Linked DNA regions of Mus musculus. The protein of the gene in region 2 interacts with the protein of the main gene of each other region in a pairwise test. Links are inferred from orthologs where the notes say so. Each region holds a gene or a part of one and is shown on either strand. Other genes may lie near its edges.

The links. The genes of interacting proteins can lie anywhere in the genome.
Region 1: the proteins of Zhx1 (region 2) and Zmynd11 interact in a two-hybrid assay, tested with the Homo sapiens proteins (2 studies listed by BioGRID and IntAct). The link is inferred for Mus musculus from reciprocal best matches to the Homo sapiens genes ZHX1 and ZMYND11.

The regions. Positions count from the first base shown.
Region 1 is NC_000079.6:9,684,021-9,689,947, forward strand, and holds the end of Zmynd11 (zinc finger MYND domain-containing protein 11), read right to left. Parts: intron 5,705-5,927; coding exon 5,432-5,704; exon of another isoform or gene 5,229-5,431; coding exon 5,043-5,228; intron 2,965-5,042; coding exon 2,842-2,964; 3' UTR 816-2,841; downstream 1-815. UniProt on the Homo sapiens protein: Chromatin reader that specifically recognizes and binds histone H3.3 trimethylated at 'Lys-36' (H3.3K36me3) and regulates RNA polymerase II elongation. Does not bind other histone H3 subtypes (H3.1 or H3.2).
Region 2 is NC_000081.6:58,072,077-58,078,491, forward strand, and holds the start of Zhx1 (zinc fingers and homeoboxes protein 1), read right to left. Parts: upstream 4,433-6,415; 5' UTR 4,081-4,432; intron 1-4,080. UniProt on the Homo sapiens protein: Acts as a transcriptional repressor. Increases DNMT3B-mediated repressive transcriptional activity when DNMT3B is tethered to DNA. May link molecule between DNMT3B and other co-repressor proteins.

The sequences.
Region 1 (5,927 bases), on a different chromosome or scaffold from region 2:
CAGCTCTGGCCTGGGCTTCGAGACTGTCACTTTGTCCGCACTGTTATGGACTCATACTTGTTAGTTAAGGCTTTCTCAGTTGAAAACCTTTCTGAACACAACTGTTAAGTCCAGACTTGGGGTGGGTGTCCAGGGTATGAGGTGTTTGCTTGTGTTTTAGTTTAGCACAGGTGAGCTTGTTGCTTAGTGACAAAGACAACATGAACAGAATCTTTTGTGATGACAGTTGGAAGTTGGAGAGGAAACCATCTCATCCCAACTGTGATCTCACTACTAGACGGCAGTGCTGAAAGCACGCAGAGCTACATGAAGACGGGCTGACGTTGGCGTGAAGGCCGGAGACTGGTAAAACAGCAGCATCTGCCACCCAATGAGAGCAAGCTGGCCCTGGCTGCTCAGAGTCCATCAAGAGCAGCCCTAAGTACATGATCTCGCCCTCTTCTTTCTGAGAAGTGACCCATGGAATCCAGTATAAATGTTGAAGTGAAGAACTGCACCTGATAAACTTGCATTTTCCTTTTTTTTTTTTTTTTTTTTTGTATTTTTATGTGTGTGAATTGTGTTGCCTGCATAGCGGTGTGCACCATGTGTGTGCCTGGAGTCCACAGAGGTCTGAAGAAGACACTGGCTTCCCTGGGACTGGAGTGACAGATGCTTGTGAGGGGCCATCTGCCAGAGCAGTCAGTGCTCTTACCCAGCTCCCGACATGGCTTCACTATCATCATGAGCAACTCCCGCTCTCGACCAAGCTTTTCTGTAGCTGTGTTGTGTCTGGCAGCAGACACTGAGCTGAAGCAGCTTACTGACAAGAGTTGTTGGGTTTTTTAAATACATTTATTAACCAATGTTAACACAGTAAATGAAATCTATATATTGCTAGTCAGAGCAGCTTACAAAATGCCAGAGGGCATCATAGAACTGGACAGCCACAATGGTACTTACAGTGTGCAGAGCGGGACACTCAACACCTTGATAGAGCTTTAGGATTGCAGAAAAATTTAATGAGTCCTAAAACAATCAATTGTAATTTTACCTAAAACTTTTACAAAACCAGGCCACAATCTCTTTTTTTAATTTTTTTTTTGTTGTTTTTTTTTAAAACACACAGTTTTCACACTGTAGTTACTTGGAAATGTGCAGCCGTGTCGACAGAGACAAGAAGCCAAAGTAACAGGGACCTCACGTTCATGCAGCTATCAGGTAAATAGTACATACTCTGGAATGATTTTACACCAAAAATATTCCCACAATAACTTGCTCTCACAGGGGTGGATCAACGTCTGAAAACAATCAAAGACCGTCAAGTGTCCTTGTTCGGGCAGCGCAGCAGCAGTGATGGTACACGGCAGCGAGGAGGGGGCGGTGGTGCCTGTAAGCTATTGCAGTTCCTGTATAACCCGAGGGAGCTCCTGGGCTACGGTTGGTTTTACAAAAGAGCTCGCCCCGTGCGCGTGTGTGGCAGTAGTTACGCCGTCTGCAGTAGCACCGGCACTGCGTGGAGGAGGCCTCACAGACGGCTCCTTCCTTTCATCTTTAGAGTGACCCTGATGAACCGGGGAAAACTGTCTTAAAGGCTTTTCTCCCGACTCTTTCACTTCTGTTTTGAGTAATTGCTTTAATAAATATCAAAGGTCTAAATAAATATTTACAAATTATTTCTCTAACCTCAAAAAATAACTAAAGGATAAAGTAGGAATTTGGTTCGGTCTGTGATGAGTCTTGGAGGAGAAAAAAAAACAATTGGTGAGATAGTTTTAAAGAAATTTAATTTTCCTGGTTGTCTTTTATATATCTATGTATAAAAAATGTTATTCAACTATCGATCCATTCCTACCAGTAACGCTGCTTAAGCAGACACCCCGCAGAATACGGACTTTGTACAAATCACGGCATCTTTAATACAAGGAACGGAGCATGCATTCTCACTGTGTACAGTCAGGGATTTGTTAGTAGCAGTGTGTGACACGCAAGTGCTCTCTCCCTCTGAGTAGGAGACACAGGGTGGGTTAGGGTGGCACTGGGGAGGGAAGGTGGGAGGGGACTCAGTTATAAACTCGTATGCCTCAGCTGTAATTCCGTGTTCTGAGTACAGGTAGTTTTTGGCTTTTGATTTTTGTTTTTGCTGCTGATTTTGTTACAAGCACTCATGTCAGGACAAAGATGAAATGTGCAAACTTTAAAATTTAAATATTCATTTTTCTCTAAGATCCAGCTCAGTAAAAGATTACCCCAGTTTCCCTGCAATTTTAAACTACAAGATCAAAGCTAATAATTTGTTATAAAAGTTATATATTGAAAAGAAATAATGAAAACACAATTGGGAAATATTTAAGAAAAAATCCGCAGGGCTAGCCCTGCTGTGTGAACCCTGTTCCCTATATTCAATCACATGCCGCCAGCACAGCCCCAGGCAAGGCCTGTAGGCAGTAAGCAAGCTGCCCAAAACCAGCTCAGCAAGGTCACGGCCAGGTAGTCTGTTCTGAAGCATCCGCTCTTACATTCAGCTCCGTTCTGTCTCTGTTAGACTCTCTCTTATTCACCTGTCGTTGTTTTTTTAAGATTTGTTGTTTAAAGGTTAAAATTTCTGTAAAACCTAAAAATGTTTTAAAATTTGCTGAAAATGCAACAAATCCGCAATTAGATTTATTTAGAGTAGTACCCTCCATTGATGTTACTTCAGCCCCCGAAAAATGCCGGAGGAGCATTAACAAAAGATTTAAACTACTGTGCAAAATTTCACCACGAAAAGTGTTTAAAGGCTGGTGCAAAATGGGAAGCAAATTCTAAACAATTTTGGCTTCTTGGGAACAAAAACCGCTGCGTGTGAGGGTGGCGGCAGGCTCATCTCTTCCGGCGGCAGGTGCGCTTGTGCTCTGCGTGCCAGTGCTCCTGCTGGCACTTGATGGAGCAGTAGGACGTGTTCCAGCAGCAGTGGTACATGGCCTCCTCCTCACAGTTGTAGCACTGCAGGGCAGGGGGCAGGGGGCACATGTGAGGGAGGCCAGCATCAACAGCCCAGGACCCGCTATGCTTCTAAGGCTTGCAAAGCTCTCTGGCTCAGACCAGCCCACAGGGGCATTCACACTGGAGTATCTCACGCCATCAGACCTCAGGTGTCTTCCCAGCACTGCATCAGCCCGGGTCTCACAGGCTCATTCATTCCGTCAGCTCCAGTGTCAGCTGTCCCTGCCCTCCTGCCGTGCTTCCCTCACATTCCTGAGTCCCTAACAGTTCTATCCTCCAACATCCCATCCCTCTACTGCATGTACATGATTGACACCTAGCACTCTCATCTCCATCCCTACCTCACATGGACATTCATTTGCTGTGTGGGTGCTCTGGATGAAGTGCTGGGCTCCTATGTGTTAGGGAATCACAATACTGTACAGCCACACCCAGACCTAGAGAGACCTTTTCCTCACTATTCTACCAGGGTCAGCGGGGTCAAAGGTGGCTAGTATTGAGGCCAGACTGTTAGACATGGGAGAAGAAATGAGGGGAAAGTTCATGCTTGAGTTTTAAGCAGGCAGAGCTGGTGGCTGCACCACTGTAGAGGTCTGCAGGGAGGATGAGCAGCAAAGCCAGAGCAACCAGGCTGTGCTCCTAACCCACGAGACTACAGCAGTCCTCTACAGCGGGCTGACAGACTTGCAAAATGATGATGGTGACCTAGAGTCCCAAAGCAGAACCCAGAACATTCTCTTTCACTGGCTGGTAAAGTGCAACCTTCCACTTTTCCTCTTGGTTGCAATGTTTGTTTTTGTCAAAATTAATATTTTGAGTTTTGTGATTTTTGTCACATCAACAATGGCAGCTTCTGCCCTACCACTCGCTGGCTGGGAGTAGAGTGAGCACAGGTTAGCCACTCGGGTTGGAATTGTAATCTTGGGCTGAGGCTACAGACTAAGCTTAGTTCATCTCCTGGTCTCCCTGACAGCCCTGCCTTCATCCCTTTTCTTGCAGATGCTCTGGGGACCCAGCTTTCCCAGCATGCTTTTCACTCCTCAGTTCTCATCTGACACTCAACATCTGTGTGTGTTCCTTCCTGTCCCCCTGTGAGTCCTTACCGTGGTGGGAGACAACATTCAGAGCAGAAAGCTGGGGTTTGGATCCTGATTTAGGACAACCCCACCTCTCATGCAACCTCAGTCAACATTCAGTGTCAGAAGTCTTCAAACGCCTGTCTCACTGCACTCCTGTCTCCTAGTGACCTTAGAGTCATGTGCTCAACATATCTAGTGTCATCAACATGGTGTCTGAGCCTTCTGACACCTAGGCCCATCTGTGACACCTGTCTCCTCAGGCAGCAGCCCCTCCCAGCACGCGTCCTCACAGGCTTCTGTGGGTGTGCCCACCTGCCCTTGTTGCTCTTGCTAAGTCTTTATAATACTTTTTCTTATCATATACTTCATGAAAACCTTATATATGTTTACATAATCTTAATAATAGAAGTTGGGTAAAAGGAAGAATTATCATGAAATGCTATATGGAATACCATCTAAATTGAAGCCAGGTTAGGAGCTCAAGGGACAATTGTCCACAAGGTAGCTCCTACAGGACTGTGGGGCTGAGAAAGTAGCCCAGGGCTCTGTCCCAAGGGGAAGAAAGGCTTAGAAACAGGACTTGGTGACACTTCCAAGTCGTCCTGAAGGGAGGGGACTTGCCAACCAATGACATACACTTACTATAAGCAAGAGGAAGCAATTTCTGTAAGCTACCATAACTGGAATGTCCTGTTGGGAGGCAGCCACCAGGTTTCAGCTTGGACACTACAGATGTCACTACAGTCGTCACTACTCGGCCAAGTGGAGCTTGAGCCCTCACACAGCAGTATCTGCACTGCTGGGGAAGATGCTGGTGACTGCACTCGCAGTGCCCTGCCTATGAGGGGCTCCAGGGCATGCTCTGAGTGCTCTGTGGTTATGGTTACTTCTGGGGGCCATGCGTGTGTGATTGTGCGTGTGCGCGTGCGTGTGAGCGAGCTGCCCTCACCACTGCAGGTATGGTCGTGTTCCCAGGAGCAGCGGGGACGGTGTACTCACCCACTGCTTCTTCTTGGTCTGGGAAATGAGCTGCTTGTGCTGCGCCGCTAGCTTCTTGATCTCCTCTACAAACTCTTCCTTGCACTTCTCCTTCAGCTGCTTACCCTTTCTGTCCATGTCGCCCTGCAGGCTGGCCACAGCTTTGTTCACGGCCTGTCTTTTTTCTTCTTCCATTTCAGAACGCAACTGAAATGAAGACAGCGACAGATCAGATCCACACATAGACAAGGCCTCACTGCTGGGATTAGGCTCTGTGCCCACTATTTTGGTCCACATAAAGGCTGTTAGCAAGAAAGTATTACTAATGTAAACTATGAGGAATACTGGCTCAGCCGCTCCTGTGAGAAGCTTTGCACTCTCCACCGCCCCCCAGCAATGCACAGCCCCACCTTTTCCAGCGCTTCACGGACCACTCTCTCTGTTTCCCGCTTGTGGTCCGACTTCATCCTGTCTTTAAAGTCATTAAAAATTTTGGTGTACTTGTCGTGGCACATGCTCTGACAGACGCCGTCGCTCGTCGTCTGAGTGCTTCGATGCAGCATTCGTGGGGAAGAGGCACTTAACTTCTTGGTCTGGGTTGACACTGACACCCTCTCAATTGGCTGAGGCATTGTGGGGATTTCCTGGCTGGAACTCACTGCTTCCGTTTCTGGCTCGGGTTCCTAAGGTGTTTAGAAGGAAAACAGGGTAATATAACTCACCCTGATTCAGTTAAGATAGAAAAACTCAGTGTATGCACACACGCATGTGTGCACGCACACACACTGCTGTTACCAAGCAGGTAATTAAGCTGGTCTCATGTTATATTTTATCAATTAAATAACCACTCCCCAGCCCCAATCAGTGAATGAAAAATTATAGAATAGCTTAAGAAAATTCTAAACA
Region 2 (6,415 bases):
GACCAGAGTACTAAAGGGGTTCTGAGAATCAAATTAAGGTGATTAGCAGCAAGTATTCATCCACTGAGCCATCTTCTAGTGCCCTGACAGCTTTATTTTACATAATAAATATACATTTACATATATACATTTATAGCTACTATTACTGCTGTTTCAAAATAAGCTCTGATATGAATTTTTTAATTCTAAATTTAAAAACTGAAAATGAAAACCCAACAAAAATAATTTCTCAGGGCTATTGTTAATAGAGGACTCACATAGAATGCAAGGCCTTAGGGACTCAGTTCCCAGCACAACATAAACTGGCCCTCAGAGCACAATGGTAACCCTAGATTTTTTTCAGTAGGTTGGGTTAGGAAGAGCAGTTCAATTACCTCCTTGGCTACATAAGGAGCTTGAGTCAGCCTGGGCTACATGAGACCCTCTCCAAAACAAAACAAAACAAAACTATTCAAACTTAGCTATGTGTTTATAATTATAGTACTCAGGAGAAGGAGACAGAGGCGGGAGGATTGAAAGTTCCAGGCCAGTCTGAGCTATATAGCAAGGATAGGACTTAAAAACACACATAAACAAACATTTATTCAGCTGACCTCCTTGAACAAAAGTCATTCTGAAACTGCCAATATATATTTGTTTTCTAAAATGTATCATTGTACTTGTTTAGGCCAAAGGTACATATCAGTTAAACATCTGTGTGTATATGTGTGTCTCTTCATGGCACATACATTGAAGAACACAGATGATATAAAATGACAAGATTAGCCCTAGACTCATTCTGTTGAACCAGGCTGGCCTTGAACTCAGAGATTCACCTGCCACTGTCTCCCAAAAGCTGAGACTAAATACATGTGCCACCACTGCCAGGCTGAATATCTTTTAAGAACATGACCAAGATCTGGAGAGAGGCTCAGTCCTTAAAAGTATTGGCTGTCCTTCCAGAGGAGAGAGGACCTGGGTTCAATTCCCAGCACCAACATGAAGGCTCACATCTGCCTATACCTCCAGTTCCACGGGATCCAGCCACCTCCTCTGCCCTCTGAGGGCACTGCATATCACGGTGCACAGATATACATGTAGACAAAATGCCCAAACACAAGCAATATTATAACTTTTTAAAAAGAGTGCATGAAAGTAGGGTCTGGAGAGATGGCTCAGCAGTTAAGAGCACTGGCTATTCTTCCACAGGTCCTGAGTTCAATTCCCAGCCCCCACATGGTGGCTCATGGCCATCTATAAAGGAATCTGATGCCCTCTTCTGTCATGCAGGTGCACATGTAGTAGAGCACTTATAAATAAATAAACTTTTAAAAAAAGAGTGCATGACAGTAAAAGAGAAAATACCTCATCACATCACTTTTCCATATGAGTGTGAATTAAACAAAACAGGAACTCTTTGAAACAAGCCTCCATGTGTATGCTATCAACTACATTAGTAAGACAGCAAACCTCTGCTCCTTTTCAGCAAAACCAAGAATCCTGAAAGGTAAAACCACTGTGACATCTTTCGTGTCCTACCCTCAAGCCAAGCAAGTTCAGATGCTTGGAGACGAAGCTACCGATGAGCATCTTCTACACAGACACATTTATGTTTTCAGCCTTAGCATATTTTCAAACCATCTGGTATCTATGTATGCCTCTCTGGTTTGCCAGACTAATCTGTTCAGAAGTGAGTATAACACTAGAGCTATATGCACTGTGGGAAAAGCAAAGAACAGCACATAGTTAAAGTTGGTGTTCCAAATGCTGAGCTATAAGCTGGTTATACCTGACCTGTATGTTTAAAGCATCTCTACCAAAAACATTAAGCTCTTTTGAGAATGTACAAATGGCTCAGGACTGTCATAAGTTACGGAAGTCACTAGGACTCTTGGAGTTTATTTTTTCTCATTTTGTTTGTTTGTTTGTTTCGAGACAGGGTTTCTCTGTGTAGCCCTGGCTGTCCTGGAATTCACTTTTTTAGACCAGGTTGGCCTCGAACTCAGAAATCCGCCTGCCTCTGCCTCCCAAGTGCTAGGATTAAAGGCATGTGCCATCATGCCCGGCTTTTTTCTCATTTTAATCTAAGCAGTCAAATAAAACATATCAAGAGGTAGTTCTATAAAAAAAATCATTGATAAATAAAATACTATAAATTCTATATTAACAAAAATGCCTAAGGGTCAGTGAGGTGTTTGGTCAGTAAAAACATTTACCACCAAGCCTGACAACCTGAGTCTGCTACCCAGAACTCCTGAAAGTTGTCGTCTGACCTCCACATGCAGGCAGTGGGATGTGCACATAACTGCACTCAAACACAAATAAACAAAAATGTAAAAAATTAGTATCTAAGATTGAGATGGTGGTACACACTTGTAATCCCAGCACTGACAAGGAAGAGGCAGGAGGACTGCCATGGCATCAAGGCCAGACTAGGCTATGTTTTGAAACTTCAATTCAAAACAAAATCTAAGATTATGCATTTTACTTTGCCTAAAATTAGTCTGTATACTTTTAAAATGCTTGGAGGATGGAGAGAGAAACTAAGATAAAAAATATTCATGAATGTCCTTTTCCTTATATGCCCTGTTACCCAACTACTGTCCCTGGCAGCACTCAGCCTTTCTTTCCTTCGCTTAAAATCTGGAATCAGAATTGCTTCTTTAGAAATAATCTATGTGCCAGTAGCCTTGTTTGAACAAACTTCTATTAATCCCCACTGCCAGTTTGAAATAATGACTTTTTCAAGGCATTTTAAAAAGAAACAGGTAATTACTACTGCATACAAATTAAAGTGTTAGGACAAAGACTTCTGAAATACAATGACCAGCACCACAAATAGAAAGGTGTACTTGTGTACCCCACAATACACAGTCTTTTCCTGGGGAAGGAGTGGTCCTTCCGGATTTTCATTTGCCATAATATTAATCTCCGAGAGAATTGCTTCTTCGAATTGCATGGAATCCCACCCTAAAAATGTCACAACTTCTCAATCGGCCTTTCTCATAATTTCCTCCTAAATTTTATCTCTTCTTGGTTTGTTTTGGTCTTGTCTTTTAGAGAAGGGTTAGTGACAGAAAAGTACTGTGAGCATTCCTACTTTATCTATGCTTCTTCTCTACATTCAGTTTTCCAATTGCTTTGCCCAGAGTAAGCTAAGGATAGCAAACAGAATCTTATTCTTCCGTTTGGTTCGTTTCTTACTGGTACCTTTGGAGTACCGAAACAAAGAATTCTAAGTCCCTCTCTTGGAACTTCGGTGTAAATACACAAGAAATGAGTCAGGGCTCGGCTTTCCTGCCATCAGACCCCAGTCCTTTTTATTCCCTCCTAGCCAATTCCCTTTAAGCCCCAAGGCTTGGAGTTTCCTCTGGTCCATCGCTCTCCCAAGTCTGCACTCCCGCTCCACTACCTAAGCAGAGACAAGTGTGTTTCCACCCTCTTTAATGAACTTCTCCCCTAAAAGCCTGCTCTTCCTCAAAATATACTTCGCACTATACTTCTTGGGGATGCAACTCCTGAGTCTTCTCTGCTGAGGTTTCCCGTTGCTCCGACCCCAAAGCCAGTGCGCTACAGTCCAGCCGGAGATCCTTGGCTGACTCTTCAGAGGGGGGCTGCGCCGTGTCCCCACGAGGTGGCCTCACGCCTCCGGAGGCCCAACGCTGGAGATCTTCCCCAGGACCCGCACGGTAGTTAGGGTCCGCTGTCCCAGAGACGTCCTTCCCCCCAGGGAGACCGGCTCCCCATCCCCTCTGCGCCCCCAAGTTACTCAGTGCTCTCCCAACCAAGGCGCTGGGGCTTTCCCTCCAAACCCTCCACCCAGAGCTCCGTCCTCGCTCTGACAACCCCCGAGAGAATCCGGGAGCTGCGACTCCGTCCGCCCCGCCGCGGGGCAGGCCCAGTTCCCCCCGGGTCCGATCTTGCGTGCCCCAGCACCGTGGGCTGGGTCCCGAAGAGGGGGGGGGTGTCTGTGTCCCGCTGCTGCCCCGTCCCGTGTCGCGCCAGCGCCCGCGCCTCTCGGCTTCCCTACCCGCCGCGAGTTCCTGCTCGGGTTCCACCCGCAACCGCGAGGCCCAGTCCCCAGCCCGCTCGCGCAGCTACCTGCAGGGGCCGCCTCGCCTCAGCGCCTCGCCGCCGCCATCTTGCATTTCAGAGCGACTGCACTTTTCAGGGAGTCAACTCTGACCCGTGAACCCTAACCCCGGAACCACTCGGAGGGCCCTCGCGCGAGGGGGCCCCCCACGGAGCTCTGCAGCCCGGCAGAAGCGCCGAGAGGCCAGGCCAGGGTGCGAGAGAGACTCCGCTCCCTGAACCCACAAGGGCCGCGAGGAGGAGCCAGCCGAGGCGGGGACGAGCCGGGCACCCCACTCGAGGACTCCGCCGCTCCTCTGGGATGCGACCCAGGCCGCTCCTCTAGAACCGGGCGCTGCGGGAGGTGTGCGCCGCCCCGCCCTCTGTCAGGGAGAGTCACGCCCCCTGTCAGGAGGGGGCCACGCCTCTGTCACTAGAAGCCACGCCCCGTCGCGAGAAGCTCCTCCTCCAGGGCCTGCGAGGCTCCGCCCCGTTCAAGCGATTGCTCGGCCAGCGGTCGTCAGAAGTCGGACCCCGCCTCCCGCGACCTCGGTCGCTTTCTTCCCTTGAAACTGCCTAGGTCCTCCGAAACCAACCCCATCTCTCCCGGAGCCGGCGTCCTAAGGCCCCGCCCCTCCCTAAGCCACGCCCACTGTCACTCTCGGCTCCTCCTTGGCAGCGCCCTCTGGATGCCAGCCGCGCCCCCACCCGCTGTCAACAGTCCCGCGCTCCTGTCAGCCGCTGCTCCGCCTCTTCCTAGCCCGAGTCCAGCAGGAGCCCCGTAGTTCCAGCTTTGGACGGGAAAAGTTAAGTGTGGCCCCACTTGGAGCCTCCCGCCTCTGCTTCCTGCTGCCGTCCCTCTTTCCCCGGAGAGCCACTGACTGAAGCCGAGCTCTCCGCAGTGGGCACCAGCCCCGCAGCGCGGCCAGCCGAGGACCTCAGCGTCTTCCCCACCTCTGCCCTTCAGCCCTCTCGTCATTGTTCCATTGAATATAACAAACGAGGGCGAAAGGAAACCACTCCGAGTGTTCGCTCCTGTACTCGCCGCTCCGGACGGACGTAAGAGAACTCTTTGGCGCCTGGATGTTTAGTCCCCACCCCCATTCCAGTCATGGACCCTTTTGTGTTTTGATAGCAGAGCTCCACCAAGCCACACCAGCCCGAAAATTTGCACTCTGCATTTACATGAAGGGAAGACCTGGCTGCTGATATCAACGTGCACAATATTTAGTTGCATCCTAAAATTCTAAAACTTGTGTATGCTGAGGCTTAATGGTCTCACCAGCAGAGGAACCCAACCCTGTCCCACTCTCGGCCCATTCTTAAAACAAAAATTAATAGCGCTCAAGCCCCTTGAAACTAAATTCAGAATGCAAACTACTTATACAAAGAATTTAAGAAATCAGTGTAGTTTTTAATAGAAAGTGGTTTAATGGAAAGTATTTATAATACAGTACTAACATCAGTAAAATAAAACAATGCATTCTCCACAATGTATTTAATACACAATGTGTTTAAATACACAATGTATTTATGTATCCCTCATAAGAAAAATACAAGACAAAAAGTTACACACACACACACCAGTTTATGCTCACCCCAAAGACAGTTCCAGGTCCACTGAGAATCCCAGTTTAGGATTTAACTCTGAACAAAGAAAATATTTTAAATTCAGATATTCAACCTTTTGTTCATGCATTCAACCATTTGCTTTTTGAGGACCACATGTGCCGGACACTAAAGGAGATGTAAAACTGAGTAAGGCCATCCTGTTGTCCGTTGGTATCTAAAAGGGATTGTTCTGGAACCCTCCATGATACCCAAATAGAGTGTTGTTCAAGTCCCTTAAATAAACTGGTATGGAATTTGCATATAATCTGTGCACATGCCCCGATGGAATTTACCTCATCTCTATTAGGATGATGTAGACACCAGGCAAAGAGCTGCTGTACTGTAACTGTTTAACATACCGAGACAAGAAAAAAAGTTGACTCGTTCAGCAGAGATGCATGATTTTTTTTTTCCTGAACATTTTGATCCACAGTTGGTTGAATCATAGATGTGGAAGCCATGGATCCGGAAGGCTCTGTTCTGTCTTCCAGGATCTTACAGACTAGATGCTAGGCAAAAACACATGCTCATAGAATACATCAAAGTGAAAATTGAGGAGAATCTGAAGTGGCTGAGGCATATGGACTTCGCTTTCTAGCTCTCTCTCTCTCTCTCTCTCTCTGTTTCCCTTTTCTTATTCCTCCTTTTTAGCACTAGTTTATAGTCTTATCCCTCTCTCTCTAAAGCAGCCAGCCTGTTTCACTCCCCAAAGCCTCCCAATTTAAGGTCACTCCCACAGGGCATTTCTGTCCAG